Nothobranchius furzeri: one gene and its partners. Each later gene encodes a partner of the first gene's protein in a complex. Links are inferred from orthologs where the notes say so. Each region holds a gene or a part of one and is shown in the gene's direction. Other genes may lie near its edges.

What was found.
Region 2: taf5 (region 1) and taf7 share a complex: the UniProt entries of both Homo sapiens proteins name them as parts of the TFIID basal transcription factor complex. The link is inferred for Nothobranchius furzeri from reciprocal best matches to the Homo sapiens genes TAF5 and TAF7.
Region 3: taf5 (region 1) and taf8 share a complex: the UniProt entries of both Homo sapiens proteins name them as parts of the TFIID basal transcription factor complex. The link is inferred for Nothobranchius furzeri from reciprocal best matches to the Homo sapiens genes TAF5 and TAF8.
Region 4: taf5 (region 1) and taf11 share a complex: the UniProt entries of both Homo sapiens proteins name them as parts of the TFIID basal transcription factor complex. The link is inferred for Nothobranchius furzeri from reciprocal best matches to the Homo sapiens genes TAF5 and TAF11.
Region 5: taf5 (region 1) and tada3l share a complex: the UniProt entries of both Homo sapiens proteins name them as parts of the TFTC-HAT complex. The link is inferred for Nothobranchius furzeri from reciprocal best matches to the Homo sapiens genes TAF5 and TADA3.
Region 6: taf5 (region 1) and taf6 share a complex: the UniProt entries of both Homo sapiens proteins name them as parts of the TFIID basal transcription factor complex. The link is inferred for Nothobranchius furzeri from reciprocal best matches to the Homo sapiens genes TAF5 and TAF6.
Region 7: taf5 (region 1) and tada2b share a complex: the UniProt entries of both Homo sapiens proteins name them as parts of the TFTC-HAT complex. The link is inferred for Nothobranchius furzeri from reciprocal best matches to the Homo sapiens genes TAF5 and TADA2B.

Annotation. Positions count from the first base shown.
Region 1 is NC_091746.1:23,735,650-23,740,266, forward strand, and holds the start of taf5 (transcription initiation factor TFIID subunit 5), read left to right. Parts: upstream 1-1,796; 5' UTR 1,797-1,856; coding exon 1,857-2,283; intron 2,284-2,555; coding exon 2,556-2,787; intron 2,788-2,861; coding exon 2,862-3,177; intron 3,178-3,262; coding exon 3,263-3,426; intron 3,427-3,522; coding exon 3,523-3,658; intron 3,659-3,745; coding exon 3,746-3,866; intron 3,867-3,951; coding exon 3,952-4,081; intron 4,082-4,617. UniProt on the Homo sapiens protein: The TFIID basal transcription factor complex plays a major role in the initiation of RNA polymerase II (Pol II)-dependent transcription.
Region 2 is NC_091741.1:82,927,437-82,931,304, reverse strand, and holds part of taf7 (transcription initiation factor TFIID subunit 7), read left to right. Parts: intron 1-988; coding exon 989-1,183; intron 1,184-2,716; coding exon 2,717-2,829; intron 2,830-3,868. UniProt on the Homo sapiens protein: The TFIID basal transcription factor complex plays a major role in the initiation of RNA polymerase II (Pol II)-dependent transcription.
Region 3 is NC_091755.1:40,694,744-40,699,282, forward strand, and holds the start of taf8 (transcription initiation factor TFIID subunit 8), read left to right. Parts: upstream 1-1,730; 5' UTR 1,731-1,858; coding exon 1,859-1,906; intron 1,907-2,087; coding exon 2,088-2,241; intron 2,242-3,301; coding exon 3,302-3,400; intron 3,401-3,487; coding exon 3,488-3,550; intron 3,551-3,672; coding exon 3,673-3,797; intron 3,798-3,908; coding exon 3,909-4,056; intron 4,057-4,139; coding exon 4,140-4,282; intron 4,283-4,539. Other genes in the region: g0s2 (G0/G1 switch protein 2), read left to right, coding at 347-489, 577-949. UniProt on the Homo sapiens protein: The TFIID basal transcription factor complex plays a major role in the initiation of RNA polymerase II (Pol II)-dependent transcription.
Region 4 is NC_091755.1:54,208,811-54,213,175, reverse strand, and holds the start of taf11 (transcription initiation factor TFIID subunit 11), read left to right. Parts: upstream 1-1,530; 5' UTR 1,531-1,720; intron 1,721-3,760; 5' UTR 3,761-3,791; coding exon 3,792-3,968; intron 3,969-4,365. Other genes in the region: nemp1 (nuclear envelope integral membrane protein 1), read right to left, coding at 202-323, 664-775. UniProt on the Homo sapiens protein: The TFIID basal transcription factor complex plays a major role in the initiation of RNA polymerase II (Pol II)-dependent transcription.
Region 5 is NC_091743.1:74,426,744-74,431,056, reverse strand, and holds the start of tada3l (transcriptional adapter 3), read left to right. Parts: upstream 1-1,291; 5' UTR 1,292-1,493; exon of another isoform or gene 1,494-1,537; intron 1,538-1,832; 5' UTR 1,833-1,863; coding exon 1,864-2,073; intron 2,074-2,160; coding exon 2,161-2,408; intron 2,409-2,540; coding exon 2,541-2,646; intron 2,647-2,767; coding exon 2,768-2,903; intron 2,904-3,030; coding exon 3,031-3,134; intron 3,135-3,945; coding exon 3,946-4,052; intron 4,053-4,313. Other genes in the region: actin-related protein 2/3 complex subunit 4, read right to left, coding at 190-308, 869-871. UniProt on the Homo sapiens protein: Functions as a component of the PCAF complex. The PCAF complex is capable of efficiently acetylating histones in a nucleosomal context. The PCAF complex could be considered as the human version of the yeast SAGA complex.
Region 6 is NC_091750.1:47,776,788-47,780,041, forward strand, and holds part of taf6 (transcription initiation factor TFIID subunit 6), read left to right. Parts: intron 1-388; coding exon 389-466; intron 467-547; coding exon 548-649; intron 650-726; coding exon 727-909; intron 910-1,308; coding exon 1,309-1,383; intron 1,384-2,217; coding exon 2,218-2,343; intron 2,344-2,453; coding exon 2,454-2,627; intron 2,628-3,254. UniProt on the Homo sapiens protein: The TFIID basal transcription factor complex plays a major role in the initiation of RNA polymerase II (Pol II)-dependent transcription.
Region 7 is NC_091754.1:63,115,924-63,120,585, reverse strand, and holds the start of tada2b (transcriptional adapter 2-beta), read left to right. Parts: upstream 1-1,791; 5' UTR 1,792-1,926; coding exon 1,927-2,196; intron 2,197-4,662. Other genes in the region: cfap184 (cilia- and flagella-associated protein 184), read right to left, coding at 20-358, 460-807, 1,047-1,667. UniProt on the Homo sapiens protein: Coactivates PAX5-dependent transcription together with either SMARCA4 or GCN5L2.

The DNA of each region.
Region 1 (4,617 bases):
TTTGGAGGACTTGGTCAGAAGCCGAGCACAGGCAATCTGAACCACCTGTAGACGGTTCAGGGAGGTTCTGCTCAGACACGTGAAAAGAGAGTTACAGTAGTCTAAGCGTGAGGAGATGAAGGTGTGGAGAACTGTCTCAAGTTCAGAGCGGGACAGAATGGGACTCAGCTTAGCAATGTTCCTGAGATGGAAGAAGGAAGAGCCAACAAGAGAACTGACATGAGAATCCAGGGTGAGAGATGGGTCAAAGGTCACGCCAAGATTCCTGACGGAAGGTTTGGTGTGAGAAGCAAGCTGACCAAGAGAGTCTCTGACTTTGGGAACCAGCTTGTCTGGGGCACAGATGAGGATCTCAGTCTCATCTTCATTCAGCTGTAGAAAGCTCCCACCATCCAGGTTTTGATAGAGTCTAAGCAGGTGTGTAACAGCTGCAGCTTAGACATCTCATGGGGCTTAAAGGAGATGTACAGTTGGATGTCATCTGCATAAAGATGGTAGGAGATTCCTTTAAAGGAGCTCAGGATGTGCTGAAGAGGAATTGCTATTAAATGATGCTTAATTCACATTCAGCAATTGTTGTTTTGTTCCTGTTTAAGATAAGGAGTGGAAGTTTTCCTAGACAAAAACCTGCAGATGTGGCCTATTTAATCTATTATATGAACTCAATGGGCATTAAAAGGAAAAACTGGTAATAATTCTGGTTTCAGCAGCGTGAAAGTGAACTCTACAACCTGGTGTGAGGCACACTTGTAACATTTAATCACTATTGTATGTTTGCTTATGTCTTCAGGTAATCATTAGAGGTGCTGAAAAAAATCGATTCAAGTCTGAATCGAGATTCTTATTTATAAAGATTCAGAATCGATTCACAAAGATTCAGAATTGCTTCCAAGAACTCAAATATTTGGCATGTTACAGGTCTGAGATGCACTTTTTTGATCTTTGTTAGGAGAGTCAGTACTCTGTTTACTTTTGTGGTCCCATAAATTGAGATGATTTATGTTTGAATCTGCTGATAAGAGGGCACTTGAATGTATTTTTTTCCCATACAAAGAAATTTGAGATATTCTCATATTTATTTTCTAAGTTGATAAACGAGTACTCAGGATTACTCATGTAACTTGTTTCTACACATACTTGAAAAGTATTTGACCGTATTACTTTCAAAGCTACTGTTAGGTAACTACAGATTAGTTATATTTTACAAGGTAAGCAAAAATAAATGTTGCCTTTTGGTCAAAAGGTTGTTTCTGTTTACAGTTTTAGAATCACTTTAGTTTACCTTGTAAATTTGCATTTTTGGAGCATGACCAGTTTAAAGTCAAATAAAAATGTCCCATAGCTTTAACTAACTTGTACAACAAAGTAGTTTATCCTGGAGCTGACACTCTTTGTTAATACTGATTGTGAATCGATTTAAATTGAGAATTGAGAATCGAGAATCGATTCTGAAACGAATCAGCACCCCAAGAATCGGAATCGAATCAAATTGTGAGTTGCTCTAAGATTCACATCCCTAGTAATCATCTTGGTGGTTTTAACAGGAGGCGTATGATTTATGTATATCAAGTGTGACAAAAATATCAACAAACAGATCAAAAATATCAACAAACAGATCATTTAATCTTAAACTTACTTTAGAGTATTTGGGATTAATTTCATGTGTTGTTGCGTCAAACGGCTTGCCATACACTTTTGATCGTAGCGGATCGTAGTCAAAGCCGATGAATTTTAAGAAGGCGGGACTTGATTCGTGTCCATTGACGCTTGGTAGTACCGACCAATCTGAAGGCTCGATCTTGCGTAGTCGGTGGTTCCCGTTTTTCAATTTCGCACATGCGCAGTTCATTTTTAAAATGGCGGCCGTACAGGGTGGTATGGTCGACGCAAAAGACGAATTAGACATAAAATCCGAACCGCCGAGCGATGGCTTCGGAAACAGCAATGCAAACGACGGAAGGCTACTTTCCTCGTCCCCCGGAGCCGGTACCGGCGGTACCGCGACTGGAAACAACAAACCTGCCCCGGGACCACCTGAGGAGCAACAGACGCTGCTGGCAGTTCTGCAGTTCCTCAAAAAGAGCAAACTGGCGGAGTCCGCTGAAATCTTGCGTCGTGAGGCGGGACTGCCGGAGGATGCTCTGGACCCGAAGGGGACGGACGCCAGCGGGTCGGGACCGGGGCTCGCCGCGGGGAGCGGGCAAGTAGACGGCGTGGACGCCAGCTCTCTGCTCAGCCGGGTGACGGTGTCTTCCTCCGCCGCAGCGCAGGCGCCAAAGAAGGGTACAGTTTGATCCAGCTACGTGGAAGCGGACCGCATAGTTGTAGTTAAACACGTGATTTTAGTCACACATCACAATTAAGTCATCACACACTTTTACGGTTGGATAATTAAAACACGTGTTGTTGCAGATTCCAGCCTAGCTGCATGTTTTTACTCACTTTCCGCTTCTCCTGCTGGTTTATGCTTGGTCTCAGAAGTGGTGACTAGTTATTGTTTTTTGCATCTCATGAAGTTTTTTCTCTTTGTCCTGTATGGATGACGTGGTGTCCAGCAGCAGCTGGGGAGGACCAGCCAGATGTGAGCGTGGTGCTGTCAGCTTACAGCCAGCAGGGAGATCCTTCTCTGTATGACGCCTACTACAGCGGCCTCAAGAGGTTCATAGAGTCCGTTTTGGACTGTCACCGCGCGGAGCTGTCCCAGCTCTTCTACCCGCTGTTTGTCCACATGTACCTGGAGCTGGTGTACAACAACAATGAAAGCGTGGCCAAGGCCTTCTTTGAAAAGTAGGTCTCTTTATCCTCCAGCCACATTCTGCAGATCTTCTTCTGTAAATTCCCTGTTTTATTTATCTTCCCAGGTTCAGTGGAGACCAGGAGTGCTACTACGAACAGGACCTACGTATTCTCTCCAGCTTGACGAAGAAGGAGCACATGAAAGGCAACGAGACGCTGCTGGACTTCCGCACCAGTAAGTTTGTCCTACGGATCTCCCGAGACTCGTACCAGCTGCTCAAGAGACATTTACAGGAGCGGCAGAACAACCAGATATGGAATATTATCCAAGAGCACCTGTACATCGACATCTTCGATGGGATGCCGCGCAGCAAGAGCCAGATCGATGCAATGTCGGGCAGCCTGGCAGGAGAGGCCAGACGAGAAGCCAATAAGGCTAAGGTGGGTTGAACAAACCCAAGATGAGGCCAGGTCTCCATTTTAACGGAGAGACCCGTTGAAGCACGTTTTACTTTATCTGGCGTAGGTTTTTTACGGCCTGCTGAAGGAGCCAGAAATTGAGCTGCCCCTTGACGATGAGGATGAAGAGGCCGAGAACGAGGAGGGTAAACCCAAGAAGAAAAAGCCCAAAAAGGATAGCATGGGCTCCAAAAGCAAGAAGCAGGATCCAAACGCTCCTTTACAAACCAGGTGTGGGTTGGTCACGCAACAACTTACCACGTTCCTCCCGCTGATCCAAACGTACACCAATGGAGGAAATCCTTTGTTTGTTTTTCTGCTGTTCAGGATACCTCTCCCAGAGCTGAAGGACTCTGATAAGCTTGACAAGATCATGTACATGAAGGAGTCCACCAAGAGGATCCGTTTGGGGTCCGACAACCTCCCGTCCATCTGCTTCTACACTTTCCTCAACGCGTACCAGGTAAACGAGCACTAACCAGTAGGGTTGATCAAAGCTAAAGGTTTTGTGGCGATGTAAGCTGCAGCTGATGCTGCTCGACCTCCACAGGGTCTGACCGCCGTGGACGTCACCGACGACTCCAGCCTGATCGCAGGTGGTTTTGCTGATTCCACGGTTCGGGTGTGGAGCGTCACGCCGAAGAAGCTCCGCAAGGTCAAGTCTGCAGCAGGTAGAGCGCGCGGCCGAATAATCGCCTCTTTAGAAGTTCTGCAGATGTTTGGAGTTAAAATCCTGTGTTCTTTGTCTTTTTTTAGATTTGAATCTGATTGACAAAGAGTCAGACGACGTTCTGGAGAGGATCATGGACGAGAAGACGGCCAGCGAGTTGAAGATTCTTTACGGACACAGCGGGCCGGTGTACGGCATCAGCTTCAGCCCAGACAGGTAGTACCCACAATGCAACATGACCATGTTAGCCCACTCATGGTTTTACGCTAATCAAAGATTCTGAGAACAGCATTTTGTGACAAACTGTCGTCGTCTTCCTCCGCTTATCCGGGTCACGGGTCAGCATCCCAACTAGGGAGCTCCAGACCGTCCTCTCCCCGGCCTTCTCCACCAGCTCCTCCGGCAGGACCCCAAGGCGTTCCCGGACCAGATTGGAGATGTAACCTCTCCAACGTGTCCTGGGTCGACCCGAGGGCCTCCTGCCGGCAGGACATGCCCGAAACACCTCCCATTTTGTGACGAACTGAACCCGTAGAAATGTGACAAAACTGAATTAAAGGGGACATTAAACTAGGGCTGCAACAAACGATTATTTGGATAATCGATTAATCGGATGGGGTCTCGACACGATTAATCGATTAATCGGATTACATGGGGGAATTTTTAAAAACTGCTAGGGAAACGTTATTTCTCTCCTTCCTTCACTTTATTAAACACAACATTATTAGAAAACAGTTCAATAGCAGAAAAAC
Region 2 (3,868 bases), on another chromosome or scaffold:
TAAATCCTGAAAGGACGAAAAGCCTGAATTTCTGCTTTAGTCCCTCAGGAAAAGCTAGCATAGATCAGATCTTTATACATTCGTATGCATGTATTGTTTGCTTATAGACGCATTCAGTCATATGTTGCTTCTAGGGATGTAAGAAAATATTGATATAGCAATATATCGTGATCTTTTTTCCTGCGATATATCGATATTCAAAAGCTGTGTATCTAATTTTTGGAAGAATTTACATGCAAACGTGTGTATTAACTTTTCTTTTGGTGCAAATCAAATGCCGACCACTAGTTGGCAGCAGTGTACAATGGGTTCTGTTTCCACCATTGAATTGTAAATCCCTCTATCATGGGTCAGATACCTCATGTTAAACATGATAAGTATCAGTTTTGACTGTTTATTGAATTTTCCTACAATAAATTCAGCCTAAAAAAATCGCTGATATCGTCTGACTGAATGTATCGCAATATATCGGGATATATCGTATCGCCTCCCCGTATCGTGATTCTTATCGTATCACCATCATTTCACCAATACACTTCCTTAGTTGCTTCCATATACTTTACCAGTGCTGCTTACAGTTTGTAGCCTTTTCAATTTAGACTGTCCACTTAAGAAACTTTTGACAAATTTTAAATGTTACAAGTTTTTTTTAATGGCCTTTAAAATGAAAAACACCTTATTTTGTGATTTTATTTGTGCTGAGATATTTTTTTTTATTAAAAAGGAAATTAATAAAACATGATGATCTTCATGTCAGTTTTTACAAAACGCCCAAACAGTCAAGGTTTGGGTTTAGAGATCAGAGAAGATTATTCTGGATGTTTGGACTCCAGGATGTTTTCCGTCAATGACCAACAGACCAAAAATGTTATCTTTTTATAAACTTTGGTGTCTCCAAGGGAATTCAAAGCCATCTTAGTTTTCAGAGTTTCAGCGTGTCTTGTCTGTGTGTTGTTGTTAATAACACCGTTGTGCTCTGCACGGCCAGTCCCGCGCGACGAGCTGAGGGAGATCTTCAACGACATCAGCAGCTCAAGTGAGGAAGAGGAGGACGAAGGGGACCGGCATGAAGACGAGGACCTGAATATCATGGACACAGAGGATGATCTAGTGCGACAGCTCCAGGAAAAGCTCAACGAGTCGGATTCTGCTCAGCATGAAAGCGACAGAAACAACCAGATAGGTGAGAATTAGAAGTTTGGTCGTTGTTCATCACAAGGTCAGCAGTGTGGGGGAGAATAATCTCACACTTTAAAGCTGTTTAACCTTTTTCTAAAATGCAATGTGGGCCTCGTTTATAAAACTTTGCATAGAATCCTTACCAAAACCCTACTTAAGCTCAGTAAAGAATAAATTACTCACGCAAACTAGTTTACTACGACCTATAATACTCTGCTCACTCACAGCTGCACGCAGTTTCTGCTTTCTGTATCATGGCCAGGTTTCCTGTGTCCAAAGCGTACTCACGCCAGGTCCAGTGTTTGCTTGAATTTGCGCACAATTATTCTGTCAAGTTTTTCTGAATAAGTCACGTTTGCATGGAAAGTCACTTATGCAGTTTTCAAACCTTGTTTTCTGTGCAAGCAAGCTTTATAAATGAGGCCCCTGGTCTGTAAATTATCATTTTCATTTACCTGTTTAAACATTTTCAGGTTGCAGGTTCCAGGAAACGTCTGCACGTAAAGTGCAGACTCAAATTTGAATCTCTTTACTTCCAAATAACCTACATACCTAGCTGAATGAAGCAAGTGCTGTGTTGGATTATGCAATCTTTCATGCTGTGCTTGCAACTCACACCTCAGGGTAAATGTTCAATCTCTTAGCCAACTTGGTTGTTAATTTTTTTGTCAGAGTGGTCACAGCAACAAGGTTGGACTTTGGAAGAAAGTCAGACATTAAATTAAATCAGATCACCCCTAGGTACTTGTCGAAGCAGATGTAAAAAATAAACGGAACCAAGTGTTTGAACTTTTAATAAGAAGTGAGCTTTCTAGGTCAGACATCACACACAGTCAAAGAAATAGCCTGGCTTCCCCGTAAACGCGCATGCTGCTGCACCCTGCAGACGAACACACTGACAGCTCTCAGCTCTCCTCCTTAACCAACCAGGCTGACAGGTGTTGCAGCGCGGCATGCAGCTCAGACAGCTGTCCGGTCTGACAGCGCCGGGCCTCCTTATCTGCATACGTGAAGCTGTCAGTCAGCAACTCCACTGGTCAGCTGCAGACCAGCATCCAGGCAGAGCGTTTTCCAATATGTTGCAGAATGGTTTGCCATGATTCCAGCTGCTGTGCAGGCTTGTAATAAATGGTGCAGCAAGGGCCCCTTGCTGCTTAATTTAGCACAATACAGCAACTGCATTGGAAAATTGAGCACCAGTGGAAATAAGCAGTGAATGGATGCAATTAGTTAGAAAAATATGGAGCCAGTGCAGCTACAGGTTAGTGGGAATCAGTTGAATTGAATTAATTGTAACTCTCTTTGTTGAACCTACAGCAAACTGATTTAATTGTCTCATAATGCGTCACTGCTGCTGGTGCATCATCCGTTAAACAGACCAATCGTTCCCTAGAAGGTTTAATTTACTTAATCTGCAGTCATGCATGCATTGTTCTCCAGAGTTGTTTAGTTGCATCAAGCGATGCCAGACCATTGTTTTTTTCTGAGTTGTTTTAGGACCTTTTTTAACACGTTGGCCTCCTGCTGTTTTCTGCAGTTATGGAGTACCAGGTGCAGATTAACAACATAAAGGCCAAGCTTCAGGAAACTCTTGCCCGCAAGAAACAACAGGAAGAGCTCATCATGAAGGTGGAAAACCAGGCCCTGAAAGTAAGTGGCCAATGCTTTCTTTTTGCTCCTGAATTGCATGAAATCACTAAAACACACACACAGGGTCCGAAATTAACACTCGCCACTCGCCAAATGCGAGCAAATTGCTCCATTTGGCGAGTAAATTTTTGAGCTCTATCTGCCACCTGGCGAGTAAATGTTTGCACCAAATTAGTTATGTTTATCAGTCATCTTCCATGGATTTCTGTGATACTCCTCCCGCCTGCATGCAACGTACACAAACGTGCGCGAAACGTGAGCGCCGCATCCAATGTCATTTCCACCTATCCCATTCAATCAGTTTATCAAGTTAGCAGTTAGCTTCGTGTTAAAACTAGCGGTGAAATGTGGCGGTTTTTAACTGGAGTCAGCCAGCCTTCCAAAAGAAAACTCGTCGAACTGGAAGAAAAACCACCAGGACCAGTGGCAACCAGATTTTGTGAAAAGTGGCGAACTGGAGATGGCGGAGTCGTGAGACAATGGCTACATTATGATGGCCACGTAGCGTTGCTGCCTTTCACAGACACTTTTTTTCTGCACGTGCTGCAAACAGGATAGCCGTCTTCTATCAACTGTCCCTCGGCATTCTTCAAATATCCAAAAAATGCCCGTACTTCCCACTTTGTCTTCTTTGAGGGATAATAAATGTCCCAAGTGCTGCCGTCTCCTCCTGCCATTATTTCAGCTTTGGCTTCAAGAAAGTTTTGGTCGTAAACAACAAAGCGCGCATGTGCCGCCGGTAACTTCCAGCAGATGATACGGTGGCTGGTAAGGGTCACCGCGCCTACACCGCAGCCACGGTAATCCACCGAGATAATATATATATTTTTTAAAACAAGACGGTTATTATTATTGTCTACTTTTTTACCGGGGTTTACTGCTACACTGGTTACCGTGACAACCCTAGCCCTGACACTTTCAGATATTCTCATGGTGCAGCTGTGTTCTCCAGAGATCAAGGACCTCTTGGCCCTCATGGAGGGGGCTGTCTAGCACACTGCTGCTATCCACTTAAACATTCTCCTTCTCCTGATAATAA
Region 3 (4,539 bases), on another chromosome or scaffold:
CAACCAATGCAGCAATCTGTCAGACAATAAATGGGCGTGGTTGTTCTTGGTTTCCAACACTTTGATTGGACAACTTTCAAGCTCTGGTGAGGAAGGCCAATGTGCATGGTTACAAATCACACAATGTAAACCAACCACTCAGACTTCAGTTTGTATGCTCATTGATGGGTTTTCCAAAACTATTTTCAGTGACTGTGCACTCACTAAACAGTTGTTTACTGTATGTGCTGCACATCATGTGTGATGTTACACGTATGGGGAGTGTTTGTTCAACTTCTCTTCCCCACAAACCCATGCCCTTTGACACAAACACGTGCTAATCTCTGTAAAAGGTGGCCTCATAAATATGCATGGTCTCTCCTCTGTTGTGGGAGGAAACGCGGCTTCGGCTGTATTTAAATGGGAAGTCTGCTCCAGCCTCTCCACCTGCGAATGCCTGATCGTGCCAAACACTTGGGAGAAATTCACATTTTTGACGTCTGCCTTAGAGTGAGTATCATTCATTAGCCAAATGTCTTTGTGATAATTGTTTTTTCCACAAAAGAACACTACATTAAACTATTATTTTTCTTCCAGCAGAATCATTGCATATCAGAAAATGGACAGCACCAACGAAATCATCCTTTTTGCCAAGGAAATGCTGAGACAGAAGCCCAGCTGGAGCATGCTTAAGATCTACATGCTCGGCTCGACTCTGGCGATGATCGGGATGGTCGGTGGTGTGGTGGAGATGATTCTCCAGCCCTTTTTAGACAATCACAGCCCAGGGGAAGAACAAGCAAAGTTCTACATCGAGATGAATAAGGAAAACAGTACGAGCAAATCAGACTCTGCCACAGTTCATGCCGAAGTTGAGGACATGATGGGAGCAGTATCGTTTGGAGCCAAGACTAAATATCTGGGGACATCTATCCAGAGAAGCTCAGCCAACCGCTTACATGCTTCTTAAAGAAACACTCCACACCACTTAAAAGGACAAAGATATACCAGTATTGTTGGTGGTGGTGGTGGTGGTAGCCTGCATTACCAAATCAAGCAGCTCATTTTTTATTCTTTAATTTATTTCAGATATGGTTAAATGTGTAGTTTTTCTTAGCTGGTGGCTAAAACTTAGCTGAAATGTTACAATAAAAACTGCAGGATACAGTTTAGTAATGCTGCTGGGCAGCAGGTTCCAATGGCTGACATGCACTGGGTGTCTATGGAGCTCATGAAATGCCATTCGTGTCATTCATTTTGTACTTAAATAAACATTTTTTCTGCTCGCAGAATTTTGGCCCTAATTTAAAGCGCCCACAGATTCAGATTTATTCGACTTTAACGGTAGAGGTTTAAGCTTTATGCATGAGGAGAATTTTATTGAGTAAAACAAAAAGTAATGTGTATTTAGCACTGTTCGCAGAAAAAATATCACCAAGGGCTTCACAAATAAAAACTGTAAACACCGCATACAACCTGTGTAAAAATGTGCTCGTAAAAACAAAAGAACATAAAATAAGGTATAAAAAAATTCTAACGTAATGTGTTTTCAGCTGTTTCTCAACACAATCTTTTCAATAAGAGCACAAGGACAGAGCTAAAGTGTGGGAGCCACTGCTCGAAAGGCCCGACCACCTCTGGTAACCAGTAAGCAGTAAAACTGGGGAGATGTGCGCCCTTACTGGTACGTTATGTCAGCAAATAGCCACTAGATGGCAGAGTGAAAGACTCTAATACTCAATTTCACTTCCGCAACAAAAGCGGAAATTACGTCATAGTATGAGCTGTGTTTACAATCGACGGTGAAGCGGTTTCTGGATAAGTAGAAATAGAAGAAGAATTGCATTTGTTAGAGAAGGAAACCTGGAGCTAACCTCTTATGGCGGATCCAGCGGTAGTATCGGGAGGGTCGCTGCCCTCCTGCGGGGTAAGAGATGCTTTTTAGGGCATTAGAACGCGCCAGCTAGCTTACAAGCGCCTCTCATCGCCACAGTTATTACTACTGTAAATAAACATGTTGGTCCTTGGCACGAGCAGTAGTATTTCGATAGATATTTACATTAAGCTAGCACCTTACAACGCCAGGGTTTGTGTGTGTGCTCTTTCAGCGTGGCGCTAAAGCGGCTTCCAGCGCCGCGGAGAACTACCAGCTGGCCCGCCGTCGCACCCTGCAGGTTGTTGTCAGCGCCCTGCTGACCGAGAGCGGCTTTGAGAGCGCAGAGAAGGCCGCGGTGGAGACGCTCACGGAGATGATGCAGAGCTGTAAGTGTTTACAAACAGTAGCTTCTGTCCGCTGAGCACGAGCTTCCAACACCAGGTTAAGGCTATTCAGATGAATGCATGTTTACGTCTAAACTTCACTTGATCTAATCAGTCTAGGTTAGTTTAAAGAGCAAGTCACCCCCAAATCAACTATTTTTTCTGATAAACTATATAAATGCGTGTCTAATCGTGCTGCAGACACGTGTGGTCAATAGTTTTGCACTTTAGTGCATTTTAGTTAAAATTTAAATTTTCTGCCTTAAACTGTCAGTGTTGTGCCGTTGTCAGGTAAAAACTCTTCACTGCATTTGAATTTAAATCTGCCACCGCTATTGGCTAAGAGGTATGCTATGATGTAAACTGGTACATTATGATGTCACAATGTCGTGCGTGTGTGTATTTGTTAGTGGCTCCACCCTCTCGGTCTGCTAGGCAACAGCATTTGTTGCATTTTTCAAACATGAAGTGGGAGTGGAGTACGCTTCTTGTAGGGGGTGACTTGCTCTTTAAAGAGCCTCCGTCCTCTATGTTTCAGCTGTTTCTGCTCCATCTGGGGCCCCATTTATAAACAAAACCGGGTCTGAAAACCGCGTGTGTCACTTTCCACGCACATTTATAAAGAAAACCTGACAGGAAAATGCGCACAACTTTAGGCAAACCCCTGTGGAGTCAGGGAAACTAGCAGCACAGCAGGTGAGATGACAAATGGTGAATTCAAGCCGCATTTGGACCCTCGTGTCTGCGCACGCACACACACAAACACACACAACCACAGTCAGCTCCCTCACCCGTCTCTGAATAAATAAAATGAGAACTTAATAAAAAATATGTCGCTGTTAAGAGATCACAATGTGTTCAAATGAACGTCTTCAACCGGAGTCACGTCCAGCGTTTAAAGAAGTTAAATAAGAACTAGTGACTGCAGGTTATGACTCTGAGAGCTTCTATCCACTACTGTGTTGTACGATTGGTGCTGGCCTTTGATGAGGTATTTGTTTGGTTGTTTAAAAGCGTGCCTGTAGAGTTTTTGAAATACTAATGGTATCATTTTCCTGTAAAGATATAAGTGAAATAGGTCGTTGTGCCAAAGCATACTGTGAACACACGGCCAGGAGCGTCCCAACCCTCTCTGACACGGTGGTCACACTCATTGAAATGGGTAAGACTGAAGGTGCATCAGCATGGTGACATGTTTTTTTTTTACTGTGAACACACTCCTAATCGGTGATTGTTTGTCCTTGGAAAGGTTTTAATGTCGACACTCTCCCCGTGTACGCCAAGCGGTCACAGAGGATGGTCATTACAGCTCGTAAGAAACAAAACCTGACATTTCTGCTGTTAGAGCTGTGATGATACCCTAGGATATCAAGTAACGAGTCACGGTTGTAGGCTAGTTTTAAGTTCTACATGTTTGTATTTCCTGATTTTTAGCTCCAGTCACGAACACACCAACAACACCTAAATCCCTGTCAGCTGGGCACAAGCGCACTCACCCACCTCATATTCCTAGCCACTTCCCAGAGTTTCCGGACCCTCATACCTACATCAAAACACCTGTAAGTTCATCAACATAATCTCCATAATAGCCCTATAAAACCACGTTCACCCCCATAGTGGGTGATGTTGCATAAACAGGTGTTTTGCGAGGCTCTCCTTCCTTCCCTCAGACATTCAGAGAGCCTGTGTCCGAGTACCAAGTGGTGAGAGAAAAGGCAGCGAACCAGAGGAGAGACGTAGAACGGGCCCTCACACGCTTCATGGCCAAAACTGGAGAAACTCAAAGCCTCTTCAAAGACGACGTCACGGCCTTCCCATGTGAGGGATCCCGACTGTACATTACCCGTCAGATTGTGTGTAACCCTGTGCATTAATACAGAATAACACATTGCTGTTGTTAGTGATCGCAGCTCGGCCAAGCACCATCCCATATCTGAGCGCCCTCCTGCCCTCGGAGCTGGAACTGCAGTCGCTGGAGGAGACGGACTCCTCTGAGCAGGACGACCAGACCGACAGCGAGAACACAGCTGGAAATATGGTGACAGTAAGTCTTCACAGCTGGGAATTGGTGCCAGGCGCAGTAGAGTAGTAGTAAAAATAACTTTTTGAAGGTGCCATTCTGAAGGTCTAAACTAAGAGGAACAGGGCAATAAAAAGCAGCACTTAGGATTGAAACAGAGAGAGTCGCAGCTACACTGCGGAGTGTGTTAGAACGGTTAGGAGTAATAGGAAGGATAAGGCGCTATCCAAAATAACACAAGAGCTCTTTATTGGTACTAGTGTGGTGTTAGTGGAGTAATC
Region 4 (4,365 bases), on another chromosome or scaffold:
CTTAAATATTAGCTGTATGTTGTTACTGAGTGATCGTGTTGAGATGTATAAATCTGGAAACTCTCTTTCCCTGTAGTTTGCTGTCTTCTTTTATTTTGAAACTATTTTAGATGCCATCTTGGCCAGGACTCAGTGGATCAGTGAATCTTATCACTTCAGTTAGAATAAAAGTTACATACAATAATAGTTCAAGAAACTCACCTGAATTCGTGTCCAAGTTTGCCTCCAAGTCGGCACTAGAGCATTTCTGTAGCAGAACCGGTTAGATCCTGACATGGTGAACTCTTCTCCATCCTGCAGATCAATTATTTGGGCTGCTTTCCCTGGATTTCACAAGCAGACATGTCTCTGGACTGGATAATCCTGTGAGATTATCATCTACTGCTAATTGTTAGAATGATTTATCTTTTGGATAAACCCAACTAATAGCTTATCCATGTGAAATGTAAAGGAATTGTACGAAAAGGGAATTGGGGTGATGTTAACTACTACATGTATAACCAACAGAATTAAAGAGGAACGTATGAAGCACCACTAAACTCACACAAGCAGTTTCACTTTGTGAAAGAAACAAGCTAACACTAATTAGCTGGATTAGCCTGAGTTAAAACACAATAAAGTAAGTGACTGTGTATTTTCCCACTTTGTAACACAGCTTCTTACCAGTACTCTGGAGTGAAGACTGGGGTAAACAGATAAAGAGTACAACGAAGACTAAAACTTTGGTTATTGCTGACTTGTAACAACAGTGTGTCGTTTTCACGCATCCCGCCATGGCCGTTCTACCTTAAGCTCCTCCCCTAACATCTACCACTTCCTTTTCCGTTTCTCGCGGCTCATTCCAGCCAATCACAGCGCTGGGTCGTCGTTGTTGTTGCACGTTAGCTTACGTTTGTTAAAGAGATAGTACGTTTTGTAAAAAAGAAGTATTATCTTACCTAAAGATAATTACTTCAAACTCCAGTTTCTAGCCTCATTGATATAAGGACGCTAACATGTTTTCTACTGATGTTTTACCCAATGACTAAAAATGACCAGAACCAACGTGTAGTTTCGGCTTTTCGCCACTAGAGGAAAGCAATTTACCTCTTCGTTCACAAAAAGCCAATGAAAAACTGAGTTTGAAGCAAGCTCCACACAGGCATCTTATCCAGGTAGATCCTTTTATAACAATTAAAGCCATTTTAAACCCGCTGTCGCATTTCTTATGTTACCCCTCCTTCACATTTTAACATCTCCTGTCGGGGACATAACAAAAGAGAAGGAGGAGGAGGATTTGAAGGAAATAAATCTGGATTAATACATGTAAAAGACTTCCTGAGTAGAAAGACTATCTAATTTCTTCCAAAGTCTGTTTTTTCCTTAAATGAAAAATATGAGCTCTATGCTGGTGGCAATAAACAGAACAGCACTATTTTACGTTCAAGATTCCCTAGAGTTTATGAATTCGCCTCATCAGCTACCCTCCAGTGCGGTAAGGGGCGACAACATTTTTTTTTTCCAAACGCCATTAACCCACGAAGAAGAAAAGGAAGAAGAAGAAGAAGAAGAAGAAGAAGAAAGAAGCGCTAGCTTAGCTTTTCACGTTTGTTGTGTGCTTTAACATATTATACAAATGTATCATGTTTAATCCACTTTCTGTTCACGGCTACCTAAAATACGTTTAAATTAGTTTTGTTGCTGCTTCCTGTGGTGTCGTTGAGCTCGTTCTGGCTTGAAGGTATGTATATGCTGTTATTTCTGTCGTGAAAATCCACCTTAACGGTAAATTTCATTTCTTTCTTTATTTAATAGGGACAGTGCATATTAATGAACTTCAACAATAAATTGCATCGGTAAATATGCCAGATTGTAGCACCAGTGCTAATTTACATCTGCAGTCCCTAGGCGGGTAATAAAAGCAATAAAAGAAAGTAAAGTATTGTATTTAAAACTAGGAAAAACAGAAAGAAAACACACAAAACACCACGGTGAGGACAAATTACTGATGGATACGGGTTTGGGTTTCCTGCAGCCATTGTTTGAATTTGAAGGAACTGCATGACTGTGAGTCACCTATGCTGAGTGGTAGACTATTCCAATATTTAGTCCAATATTTAGTTAGGATAGTGTGGTCGGGCCAAAAGCAGTGCGTCTGTAAGGCACCTCACAGTCTCCTCTATCTGTAGCCCTGGTCGACGTTCCACTGATAGACCGCGATTTATTACAATCTGTCAGTGGGAAAGGGGCTAGTCCATGTAAAACCTTAAAAAACAGGCAAGCATTCTTGAAGGTAACAAAGTTACTAAGATTAAGAAGTCTATATTTATCTAAAACAAAGCAGTGGTGGAAACTAAATGATTTCTTATCAAGGATTTTTATGGCTTTTAAAAAAAGGGATTCTATGGGTTTGAGTGTTGCACCAGCAGCAAGTGACCAGGAGGTTATACACTATTCCATGTGAGACAAAATCATAGAATGTAAAAATAACTTTGCAGCATGGAGTGAAAAAAGGTCTAACTTGTTAAAAAAATGACATTATAATTGACAGTTTTTTTTTAAAAGTTGTTTAATGTGATTCTTAAAAGTTAAGGTTGGGTCCAAAGTTAACCCAAGATATTTGAATTCTTTGACAATATCAAGTTCTACCCCTTCAAGAAAGATGTTTGATTTTTTTTAGTTCAATTGTTTGTTTTTTTTGGTGAAAAACATGCAAACAGTTTTTTTTTATGTTCAGCTTTAAGTGGGAACTCTTGACCCATTTTTGTACATGGGCCATGGTTGCAGTCAACAATTGGGAGGCTTCCTGAGGACGTTTAGTATCAGTAAAAATAACAGCATCATCTGCATACATTTGTATGTTTACTTTTGAACATACTTCGAGAAGATCATAAATATAAATGATAAACAAAATCGGCCCCAGAATACTGCCTTGGGGAACTCCAACTGGACAACTAATGTAGGAGGATTTATTGCCAAACAAGGACACATATTGTTTTCTGTCACACAGATAAGACTGAAACCAGAGCAGCGCCTCTGGTGAGAAATTAAAATGACTCAATTTGTTTAGAAGAATTTGATGATCGACGTGTCGAAAGCCTACTTGAGGTCTATGAACACAGCTCCTACACATGCATGCCTGTCAAGGAGACTTTTGACTTTTTCCACAAAGACACAATTTGCAGTCTCTGTGGAGTGGCAGTTACGAAATCCGAATTGCATTGGATGTAGGGATGTGTGTCCAAAATTTAAATATGCATTCAGTTGCTTTGCCACCCACTTTTCTGCAACCTTGGAGATAGTGGGGAGAATACTGATGGGCCGATAATTGGCCATTTCAGTTTCGTCAATTGGCGTGACTGCAGCTAGCTTCCATGCTAAAGGCACAACATTTTGTTTAAACGATAGAATAATTAAATGAGTTACCGGCTGAATTAGTGCATCTTTGTGCAGTTTTAAAAAATGGGTGTCGAGAGACCATATACATCCTTTGCCTTTGATTGGTTGCTGTCCACTTCTGTTATTTCTTCTATCCTGAAAACAGCATGACAAGGATTTACAGGATCAAAAACACCGTTAGACGGTGTGAATTGTTGAGTTATATCTCGAACTGTGTCAACAAAGTATTTATTCATTTCAGTAGCTATGATAAGAGGATCTTTCACCAGAGTATCATTTATTTTGATTTCAAGTTTATTAATAGCATATTTGGATTGTTTACCAGTTAATTGGTCTATATTTATCCAGATAAATTTATGTTGAGAACATTTTATGTTTGCAGAGGCTGAATCGTAGAGAGACGTCGAGAAACGATGGCAGATCCTGCTCGGATCAAAACAGAAGATTCTCTTCCGAAGACGGCAGCTTCTGCTATCGATGAAGAAGTAGTTAGGAAGGATCAACCTGAAAATGAACTCGTCTCAGAAAAACCTACAGAAGAAAATAAAGAACCGAGCGTGCAGGATCAGCCCACACCTCTGGTTAAAGCTGTGAGTGAAGCTAACCATAATGGTGCGCGGAAACATTGACAGGAGTTGATAGCTCTAAATAGTAAAACATGAATCTATAGAGAAGAGCCATAATTGAAGTTTCCTTACATTAAAACCTGTTTTAATTAAGATCAGCTTTATTTTAGCTGTGTTCTCAGGTGTGTAAATGTTTATGCTTGCATGAACAAAGTAGGTATCTTGTTACATCAAAGTGAAGATTTGTGGTGGTGGTGTGATGGTTTGGGCCTGATCCCCTGCATCTAATCCTGGACACATTATTACTAATAATAGGACAACTGGATATTTTATGTGTTTATATTTACAGCAGATAGAAACTTGTAGTTTGCTTAGACTCTTACGGGACATATTTTCTAATAAATAAATCAGTTTTGTGGTC
Region 5 (4,313 bases), on another chromosome or scaffold:
TAGTCTCGGCTTTCTAGCTGCATTGGGAGGACACCTTCGAATGGGCTGCAGCAAGTCAGCACAAGTCCACACTTGTGTGTCAGCTGCAGATAATCCACCGAGAGCTCAGGGGCAGGAGAAACATCAGGAAGAAAAAAGTGGATTTTGACACCACCGAGACTGCAGGTGGTTCTGTGCCAATAAACATACCTGACTTCTACCTCCGGTTTGTTGTGGCGCTCCACCACCTGAGAGGAGAAGTTCTCCAGACAGAGGGCTGCCTGCAGGGTGGACCTCACAGCGTTCAAATACGGGCGCAGAGTCGCTGTCTGAGCAGGAACAGAGATCAGGGTTAGCAACAGGAATCCTGCATGATGATGTTCTGTTGATCCAGCTCAGTGAGACCGACCTCACCTGAGCCAAAACTGAGCATCCATACATGAATTAATACATATATAACCTTATTATTTTTCACTTTGTCCGTTTTAGGGTTTCTTTAATAAAGTAGTTATCGGTCGTCTGTGCAGAAAACTGCATTAAAAGCAGGAATTAAGCTGAATCTCGGTGAGTGAGGTGCCTCCAGGTGAGAGTAGATCGCTGATCAGACCTCATAATTGTGCTAGTAATTTTACAACGTTAAAAACGTGTGTTTTCAAAGAGCCACCTGTAACACTAACGAACGAAAAAAGGCCCCAGAACACAGCTCAGCTAAATCACTTCAGTCTCCATTCCGTATGAAAGATGCCCGTTACTGAAGCCAGCCACAAACAAACGCCATCTGTGTGACTCGAACACATAGCTAGCTAGCTAAGGTCAAGTCGCAGTGAGTTGAAAGAAATCGCAAAATTATTCTATATTTTCAGAAACTCGCAAAGTGCAAGAGACTTACCATTTTTGAGCTGTGAAGAAGGAAGTTCCTCAGCCACGCCTGGTACGACTCTTCCGTAAATTCTTCATGGTAATGTAAAGCAAGAGTGCGTTTGTTCTATTCACCTTTCTGGTTGGGTTAGGCGGGCATACATTGTTTGAAAGTATAACTCCGCCCAGCAGGGAAGTGGTTTCTAAAACGAGCACTTACAGCGGTGCATCCATTTGTCTAACCAAGTGGGGGGTGAGAGTCTTTGCTTTTATGACTTTTAAAAAAAGTTACCTTGATTTTTAAAATGATGGTTGTGTTGATTTAATTCGTAAAATAAAAATACTACAATGTTCCACTACGTCGATTTAGAATTGAAAATCTACTTAAAAGGTTTTGTGCAGCTGCGCACTGATAGAACATGGTTTAATCCCACCGTGACATTTTGGTTTACATGGGGGTTGTTGTGATCAAAATTTGGCAATTTTTGTTTTGTGTGCTGTATATCTTTAAATCTAATAGTACATATTACATAACATAAACACAGTGCTTGATTAATATTTCTTTTGGTTCAGGGAAGGTGCTGTTTTATTAATATCTTTATCGACACCCCTCTTGCTACAATGGTTTGTTCCATCATGGACACTTTTTACTGACGGTAAATGCTACTACTCAATGTTTCTGGGCTCCAAACATGAAAATGTAAGGTCTTAAATTTCTCCGTGGTGTAATATCTGTATGCAGACAGTGAATATGAAAGCCACTGTTGTTAAATTCTGAGATATCAGCCCCATTTGGGCCCGGGGCGGAATGATGCATCCTTTTTTCACGTACGTGCTTTGGGTTTTTGATTAGAGACGCACCACCGAGCTCGGCCGAACACCTGTGTGTGTGTGTGTGTGTGTGTGTGTGTGTGTGTGTGTGTGTGTGTGTGTGTGTGTGAGAGAGAGAGAGACACACATACTTCTAACTAACGCGATGCTCGTGTTTGTACCAGTTTAATAGGACATTGACAGCACCACGGCATCATGAGCGAACTGAAGGACTGCCCCCCGCTGAAGTACTACGACTTCAAGCCCGTGGAGCACGTTAAGTTGTGCCCCCGTTACACCGCAGTGTTGGGACGGTCAGACGACGATGGCATCGGCATCGAAGAGCTGGACACCCTGCAGCTAGAGCTGGAGACCCTGCTGTCCTCAGCCAGCCGGCGCCTCCGAGCCCTGGAGGAGCAGAGACAGGTGGGTGTTTCAGGTTAATGAAAGAATGGACTCCAAATAAAAAATATATAAAAATATTAAAACTTTCATTCTTACCTACTTCTTCAGATCCTCACAGATTGGCAAGACAAGAAGGGAGACAAACGATTTCTAAAGCTGGGCAAAGACCCAGATCCTGCGGCCCCATCCCGCCATAAACCTAAGAAGCAAAAACTGGATGGAAAGGGAGGACATGCACCAGGCCCAGGTCCTGGCAGACCCAAATCCAAAATCCTACAGCCCAAAGTTCAAGAGTATGATTTTCCAGATGATCCACAAGACATCCCTCGCACTCCGAAGAACGATGCACCCAACAGGTTTGCAGCATCAGAACCTTTTAAGTATAGAAGAATATCTTCTGGTGCATTATTAGCTAGACTGTTCAGGGATGTGCTGTATATCCACAACAATCATCAGTTTGTTTTTGCTTTAATGTGTTTTTTTTTTAGGTTCTGGGCGTCAGTCGAGCCATATTGTGCTGATATCACAAATGAGGAGGTACGACTGCTGGAGGAGCTTCTTAAGCCTCCAGATGATGAGACTGAGTACTTCAAAGTAAGACGTAAATCACAGTCTTCTTCATTTAAGTAATAATTAACATCTTAGTTTGCGGTTGATGAAGACGCATTGTGGGAAAAGTACGCCAGCGACTCAGCTCCGTTTGTGCTAACTGTAGATTCCAGCTCTGGGGAAGCATTATTCCCAGCGATGGGCCCAAGAGGACCTGCTGGAGGAGCAGAGGGAAGGAGCACGGGCCAACGACAAGAAGAAAAGCATCATGGGAGGGCCGCTGTCAGAACTAGATGCAAAAGGTGAAGGAGGCCTGAAACGATCGTGAGCATGTGTGCTTTTGTCTTAACTGTGCTTAACTGTGACATGCAGCTGTTGCTACTATGTTTGTTTTAATACTCGTCTTTACTTTTATTTTATTTTTTACAGATGTCGACTCCCTGCTGAAAAAGTCAGAATCCCAGCATGAATCACCAGAAGATGGGTGTCCCTTCTTCCCCCTCACACAGCGGCTGCTGCAGGCTCTTGTAGAGGTCAGACTAACTCCATTCAAATCTCACTGAATTAGGATTGAGGTGCAACCATTTTTAGGTAACATCGACTTTTGTTTGTTTCTACTTCATTGTGTGGTATTGTTTTCCACTTACCCATATTCATCCGTTTTAAGATTTCATACTTTACAGCAGGCAGAGATACCTTCTGATTCCTGACAACTACTTTTAGTGTAACCAACATATGTATTTATGTGTGTTCTCTAGTGAAACAACTTGATTCATCAGCCAGCACTTGTGGTTTCTGTAACGGTCATAAGATCACAATCTGAAGTACTTTATTCAGCTTTGCTTTGCAGCGTTGCTCGCACTTTTACCTTCTTTTCAACCGTTTGTCTTTTTAGTGCATCTAAAGCCTCTTCTGCACCAAAAGCTGCAAAGCTGAGATCTGAAAGCTGTTTATTTGTATGGTTTGGAAACGTTGCACTGCGGCATACTCTTGTGCAGCCAACAGACACATAAAACATCTCTGTGCGTGCTGCTTTTGGTGTGCCAGAGGCATCGGAATAACTGTCAGAAACCTGTACACTGATTTGTTCTCTTGCATTGATCCATGCAGAGAAAAAGTGTTGGGTGTTGACACAGCACTGGTTGGTTTCTAAAGTTTAAGTTATGTTTGTGTAGATTTTGCATCAGAAACAAGAAAAGTATTCATCGCTAAATCTGGAGCCTGAAAAATGTTGCTGCAAAACCTTTCTAGAATATTTGAAGTCCAGCTCCTTTTGGGCTTATAGCGTAACAAGAGGTAGTCATAGAGGTGTATGTTTATCAGTTTGGTTTTGTTCTTTTCCAGGAGAACATTATATCCCCTATGGAGGATTCTCCAATACCAGACATATCAGGAAAGGATGCCAATGACGGTGCTGGCACTTCTCCTCGAAGCCAAGGCAAAGCATTCAGGTGCGTTGCATCGTATCCGTGCAGAAGATCAGCTCTTTGTAGAACGTTATCTACCAGGTTCAGTTTAAGGTTCGGATGTTTGTCTACAAAGCCTGTGAACTGCCTATTTCTAACATGCCCACTCCATCTCAGAGGTCTGCTGTAGGGATGGAGAGATTCACCGATATGAACCGGTGGTTCGTTCATAACGTTAGCGATGCGACCGCACCGGTAGCTTCAGCGTGCGTCGGTTACAACTAATCAATGTATCTTTCCATACGT
Region 6 (3,254 bases), on another chromosome or scaffold:
GCCAGAATACCACATTTGCAAATTCAGAGTGCCGGTCTGGTCTTTGAAAACAGTTGGACTGACATACTTGGTGCTGCAATCTGCTTCCTGCGCAATTCCTGCATGTTTCAGATCATGAACACTGTTTATTTGTTTAAGTTAGTGATGAATCACCCCTGTAGACACTAATGAAGGCTGAGGAGACGTTTCTGCTGTTAGATTAGGTGTTAAAAAGACGAACGCACAGCCAGGAGATAAGATTTGCTTTTGGTTCTACTAAACGGACACAAGGTGGTGCTAGCCAAAACTGCCTAGTGTCCATTTAAAGTGGAAAGTCGGAGAGCAGAATCATCATTTTAGAAAATGTGTGTGAGCTTGCTGATCTGGTTTTTCTATTTGATTCATACAGGAAGCTCTACAGAGTATTGCAACGGACCCTGGTCTGTATCAGATGCTTCCAAGATTCAGCACATTTATTTCTGAAGGAGTAAGAATCTTTCTAACCTAACGTAAACATTGTTGATGTCACATCAAACATAAGTCAGCTGATTTTACGCTCTCCTCGAAGGTCCGTGTAAACGTGGTGCAGAACAACTTGGCCCTGCTGATTTATCTCATGCGGATGGTCAAAGCTCTGATGGACAATCCCACCCTGTATTTGGAAAAATATGTGAGTAAATGAAAAACCAGAAGTCCACGCCATTTTTAAACTAAAGATTATTTTAACAAAGCTGTTTTTCTTTGTAGCTGCATGAGCTGATCCCAGCTGTGGTCACCTGTATTGTGAGTAAACAGCTGTGTTTACGACCAGATGTTGATAACCACTGGGCTTTACGGGACTTTGCTGCTCGCCTGATGGCTCAGAGCTGTAAAACCTTCAGCACCACAACCAACAACATCCAGTCACGTGTTACCAAGACTCTGACCAAGGTAGGTGTTTGGTAGGAAAGTGGTCGTAAGACATTTTTGAAGTGAAAAGAGATAAGAGAGAAAAGTTCTGTGGCTAGAATTTATGTTTTTGACTAGAAAATGTTTGAACAACAAAAAATCTAATCAAAGTTCCACTTATAACTTACCTGTAATTAATATTTCATTAATAAAGTGTTTGTTCTTCACCAATCGAGCCAGTAAACCAAACCCATGTAAATAAACAGGTCTACCCTAAAGGCAAACGTTTACCATGATGATCATAACACTAATGTGTAGAACGTTCTGCAGCACATCTGCAGTGATGACCCAAATGACCTATTATTTAACAACTCTTAATACTAGCTCTAGTGACACAAACTCATTTTAAATCAGTGTTTTTTTGGGGGGGGACATTTTCAGAGTTTGTTCGATGATAAGACCCAGTGGACGACACGATACGGCTGCATTGCTGGACTTGCTGAACTCGGAGCTGATGTAAGTTTTTTTTTTTTTTTTTTTTTTTAGATTTTAACTTAATTTTTTGCTAATCAATGAACAGGTTTCTATTATTTTAACTGTATTTAGAATATGTGAATAGAAACAATTCTAAAAAAAAAAACTCTGTGGTGGGGTGCTCCCATTTGAGTTGTTTTCCTTTTGACAGTAGGGGTGGACGGATATCTCGGCTGATATTTACCACTTTTTAGATATCAGCATCGGCCGATGCGACTCCTTAGTAAAGCCAATTAAAAGTCGGGCATGTCCTCGGGCAGCCTGGTGCTGCTGCAGAATTAAATTTGTGGATATTTACATTCCTGAATAACATCTGCTTAATAAATGCTCAAAAAACTATTTTCAACTAAAATGTCTTAAATTTGACCAGTTTTGCCAGTTTACTAATTTGTTTGAGTAACTTTAGTTAAATGTCTGATTCCAACACTGAGCCGTGCATAAAATTAAGATTTAACAGTTGGTTAAACTCGGTGTTCAAAAACTGATTCGGTTTCAAACGTTTTGTAAATCAACTGATGTTATTGGTGGCATTTTAGCATGAACATGAGGTAGAAAACGTTTAAATATCGACCACGAAAAACAGCCCAGAATACCGGCAGCACTAATCGGCCATCACCTTTACCTGTCGGCAATAGAAAAACCAATATTGGTCGCCTCTATTTGGAAGAATTATAAGTTTTCACAGTGAGGTAATGGAAAAGTGCCATCGTCTGAAATGAAGGTGGTAGAGTTTGTTACAAGAGAAAAAACATCTAATTTACGACTTCTGTGTCTCAGAATTGTTACATCATCGTTTCCTGTTTTTGACCTTTTCAGGTGATAAAGACGCTGATCCTTCCTCGACTCACCGTAGAGGGAGCTCGCATCAAAGCAGTGATGGAGGGACCTGTGGTCTCCAACATTGACAAGATAGGAGCTGAACATGTTCAAACCCTCTTACTGGTAATAAATGTCGTTAGATGTGAATAAGACTCGTTTGTAAACTAAAACACTGAGAGACTAACAACTAGTGCTTTAAAGGTTGCAATAAGCTGTTTATTCTCTTTTTAAAGAAACACTGTGCGAGTGTTATTGCCAAGATACGACCTCAGCCGGACAACGTGGAGCAGTATCGGGCAGAATATGGCTACCTTGGGCCCATGTTGTGCTCTCATGTAGTAAAGGCCAGAACTCAAGCAACACTGCAAGCCCAGCAGGTCAACAGGACCACGTTAACAATCACACAGGTAAGCTGCAGAGTTACTTAAGTGTTCTAGTCTGCCGCTGATCTGAGTCGAGCTGTGTTTTGTTATTAGAGTTCTGTGCTCGTCATGGATTGTCCATAATGAACACCGTGTTCAGACATAAAGGTCCATATGGGCTCTTGGCACCAGGATACCTTAGGCCACAGCTCCATGATTGACTTTGTTGTCATCTCATCTGATCTGCGGCGTGTCTTCGACACTCGGGTGAAGAGAGAGGCGTAGCTGTCAGCTGACCACTACCTGGTGACGAGGTGGCTTCGATGGTGGGGGAGGATGCCGGTCAGACCTGGCAGACCCAAACGTATTGTGAGGGTCTGCTGGGAATGTATGGCAGTCTCCTGTCAGAAGTTTCTAACTTCCAAAAAGAAAGCAGTGCCCTACCAACTCTGTTTATAGTGGGGTCAGTGTGCTGCTGACTTCGACTCAGGACGTTGTGGATCGGTAAGCAGAGTACTTTGAAGTTCTCCTCAATTCCACCAGCACGGCTTCCAGTGATGGACTTTGAGTTGGGCTCTCAAATCTCTAGTGCTGAGGTCACTGAGGTGGTGAAAAAGCTCCTCTGTGACAAGGCTCCAGGGATGGACAGGATCCACCCAGAGATCCTTAAGG
Region 7 (4,662 bases), on another chromosome or scaffold:
CACAATCAGTACCAGTGTGTCACTGGTTTATAAATGTTGTCTCCATTTTCTTCCTCCATTGCTCACATTTGAAGACTGTCTCAGCTTGCTGGACCTTCAGAGTCTCCAGATGCTTCTCCAGCTGTTCTGAAGCATCCACAGTGTCCTCAAAGTCCTGCAGCAGGACTCTGTTCCCCAGGAGTCCACACTGCTCCTTCAGCCTCAGGTTGTCTCGCTGGACTCTGGTTCGGTCCTGCCTGGTTTGGCTCAGAAGGTCTTTCTTCTTAGCCACCATGGCCTCCACCTCTGCCAACTGCTGCCGTCTTGACTGGACCTCCATCTGACCCCAGAACAACTTCTCTTTGATGTTTGACAGGAGCTGATGCAACAGCAAAGACAGAACCATAGGAGAAATCAGCAAGATGTAAACTTTGACTCACACGTTTGGGTTTCGCTGCACTAATGGGTTCATCACATTACCTCCAAGCAGCAGCTGATCTTCTTCTGCAGTTTTAGTGATTCTTCATTTTCTTTCTCAGCCTGTTGTTTCTGCTTCAGCCTTTCAGCCCACAGCTGCTCAAACCGGACCTGTAGGGGATCCCTGCTGTCTTTATTTCTCTCACGGAGCTCTGCCTCCAGCCTGTGGACCTTCAGCTTCAACTTGAAGTGCTTGAGGCGCACCTTGGTCAGCTCGTCCTGCCGAATCTGCGCTGCAACCAGGACCGACTTGACTTTGGCCCGAGCTGCTTCCTTCCCCAGGCGACGACTAAGCGCCGCCTCAGCTGCATCCTGCTTCAGAGCCACCAGTGCCTGCCAGTCCTTTTCCACCTGAAGGCACACATTTAAAATATTGTCAGAGTCAGGTTAACTTAATACAGCTCATCTAACAAATCTGTAATGTCTCTCTCTGGTCAATAAAAAATCCTACATTTCCTAGAGTTCAGGTTTTAGGTCCTGAGTGACAAAATGACCATTATGTAATTGTGTGGCGCCCAAAACAGCAAACTAACAAGCTTTTTTACACTAAAGTCAGAGACCGCAGCAGTCTGTATGAGCCGTCTTCAGACCTGGTCCATCTTCTCCTGTGCCAGCATCTCCAGCTCCTCTGCCTGCCTCTGGGCTGACTCGGAAGCAGATCTGAGCTGAAGCTTCAGGTCAGTCAGGGCTTGGAGGTGCTTCTCATACTCATGCTGCCCTGATGCTGACCACTCCTGATGAACATCCTTGTTTGCTCTCCTTTGGAAGTATCCTGCCAACTTCATTTGCAGCTGTTGGTTTAGCTGGTGGGCTTCCTCTCTCTCCTGGTTCTCCAGGAGCTGCACCAACCCTTTGTGCTCTTCTTTGTCTGCAAGTGCGGCAGGCACCTCCTCCTCGTCCTCCTCCAGTGCAGGACAGATGGGCTCCTTGTCAGGGGTCTGAAAGTTGATCCCCGAGGGTCCATCATGGTCACTCTGCAGGTGTTCATTTGTTTTGTTCATGTCCACATCGAGCTCTTTACTTGTGGTGGGACCACTGCCCTCCTCTGGCTCACAGGATGCTGCTTCTTCAACAAAGAGCCTATTTATGACTTTCCCACTGACAGAGAGTGCCTCGTGTGCTAATATTCCAGCTGAAACGTGCTCTTCTTCATCTTCATTAACATTATTAGGAGCATTATTCTTTTCTTCATTCTGTAACTCTCTACTCATTTTTAATAATAAAAAATAAAGTTAGAATGTATTAAATGGCATTTGTTTGGAGTTAAACGGCTCGCGCAGTTCTGTTGTCAATGAAACTATTCGTTTAGTTTCCGTTGTCCTGGAAACTGGGACCAGGAACCAATCACAGGAGCTCTGTGACGCTCATGAATATTAATTAGGAAGGTGGGTGTGCAGCGCGAGTAGTGAGGCACGTAGTGCGCAGGCGCGAGGTCCTGCCTTCTACAACAAGAAGCAAGAGCCAGGCAAGATGGCCGACCTGGGGAAGAAGTACTGCGTTAACTGCCTCGCGGATGTTACAAACCTACGGCTTCGCTGCACCGACTGCCCCGATATCGAGCTGTGTCCCGAGTGCTTTTCGGCAGGTGCAGAAATCGGTAATCACCGGAGATGGCATGGCTACCAGCAGGTCGACGGCGGTCTTTTCTCACTCTGGGGTCCCGAAGCAGAGGGAGGATGGACCAGCAGGGAAGAGCAGTCGCTCCTCGATGCCATCGAGCAGTATGGATTTGGAAACTGGGTACATCACTTTTATTCACAAATACTCACTAAAGTTTAGTTTTAATGTCTATAGAAAGAAAAAAAGTTTAACAAGAACCAAAAAAAGGGCCACGACGTCTGTAACTTTCAGGAGAACAACTGTCTGTATGATTTGGTACACTCACAGTAAAATACGAGCAAGATCAATAATCTGTTGTTTCTGACTTCTCATAGAGTTGGGACCAGAGCTAGCATAAACTAACTGTAAATATAAATGAAAAGCTGACTTATTACAAGATTTAGATGTTTTCAGGTGTCAGACAAGCTCAGCAGATATGAGGATGTGGAAAAGAAAACTATTCAGTAGAAATCCTAACTCACTAAAAGTGTTCTAATCTAAAAGCAGAGTTTTGTGCTGTTAAGGAAGGATGTTTCTGTTTAAATATTAATTAAATTCTATAGAACCACCTCATAAATTTTTATACTATAATTAGTTTCTTTACCATAAAAACAGGAGTTTTTAGAAGAAGAAAAAAATATCCTTTTAAATGTTTAAATGAGTTGTCTTCACGTTATCTATCAGATCTGATCCATCCTTATGTTCCCTCAAGGAACCTTCGGTCAGCACAGCAAGGACTGTTGGTCGTTCCTAGCTAGGGTTTCCTGTTAGGGGTATTCCTGCTAGGACAAGCTGGTTCCCAAAGTCAGAGACTCTCTTGGTCAGCTTGCTTCCCACACCAAACCTTCTGTCAGGAATCTTGGCGTGACCTTTGACCCAGCTCTCACCCTGGATTCTCATGTCAGTTCTCTTGTTCGCTCATCCTTCTTCCATCTCAGGAACATTGCTAAGCTGAGTCCCATTCTGTCCCGCTCTGAACTTGAGACAGTTCTCCACACCTTCATCTCCTCACGCTTAGACTACTGTAACTCTCTTTTCACGTGTCTGAGCAGAACCTCCCTGAACCGTCTACAGGTGGTTCAGAACGCCTGTGCTTGGCTTCTGACCAAGTCCTCCAAACACACCCACATCACCCCGCTTCTCCTCCAGCTTCACTGGCTGCCAGTCAACTTCAGGGTTCATTTCAAGGTCCTGGTTCTGGTCTATAGGGCCTTACATGGACAAGCACCATCTTACATTGGTGATCTTCTTAGTCCCTACACCCCCAGCAGGTCCCTGAGGTCCAGTGATCAAAGCCTACTGGTTGTGCAGCACCAGGCTAAAGGTCAAAGGTGACAGATCATTTGCTGCTGTGGCCCCCAGACTCTGGACCTCTCTCCCCCTGAGCCTGAGATCAGTGGACTCAGTGGTCTCCTTTAAAAAGCAGCTGAAGACTCACCAGTTCAAGCTGGCTTTTGTATGACCTTCTTCACCTCTCTCTCTTTATTCTGCTCTCCCCACCTATTCCACCTTCCTCAGGATCCACTGATTTCCCTCTTTCCTGTTCACTCTCCCTCTTTCTTAACTTTTTTCTTTTAAATCGCAATTGCTTATTCTTGCTCATGTTAAATATATTTTTAAACATTTTCGAAATGCTTTTTTATATTTTTACATTTTTTATATTTGTTTTTGTGAAGTGCCTCGTGATTTTTATCATGAGAGGCGCTACAGAAATGATATTTTCTTCTTCTTCCTTTCTATAGCGCCTCTCAAGATAAAAATCACGGGGCGCTTCACAAAAACAAAAAAATGTAAAAATACAAAAAAGAATTTAGAAAATGGTTAAAAATATATTCAAAATGTGCAAAAAATAGACAGTTGTGATTAAAAAAATAAAAGACCAGGGGACTCATTTATAAAGCTTGTTCCCGCTCAGAAGGGGGTCTGAAAACTGCGTAAGTTAGCCTGCAGAAAGATTTTACAGAAAGGCTTTGGACCTGGTGTAAATACATGTTGGAGATATGTTTACATGCATAAAAAACAACTTCAGCCAACATAAGGCAATTGTGTTTTACTGATGCTGCATGTAAATGCACAGAGGGATGATTGGATTTTCCTCTGTTTAATTTCCGCTGTAAATAATCTAATAATGTATAAAGCAGTGGTTCTCAATCCTTTGTTCTGGAGGGCCGGTATCCAGCATGTTTTAGTTTCATCTTACCAGCACCCTAAACTGTGTTTTTGGGTCACCAACAATCTAAAGTGTGTGTTTGGGTCACCAGCACCATAAACTGTGTGTTTAGGTCACCAGCACCATAAACTGTGTGTTTGGGTCACCAGCACCCTAAACTGTGTTTTTGGGTCACCAACACCCTAAACTGTGTGTTTGGGTCACCAACACCCTGAACTGTGTTTTTGGGTCACCAACACCCTGAACTGTGTTTTTGGGTCACCAGCACCATAAACTAAACTGTGTTTGGGTCACCAGCACCCTAAACTGTGTGTTTGGGTCACCAGCACCATAAACTGTGTGTTTGGGTCACCAACACCCTAAACTGTGTGTTTGGGTCACCAACACCATAAACTGTGTGTTTGGGTCACCAACACCCTAAACTGTGTGTTTGGGTC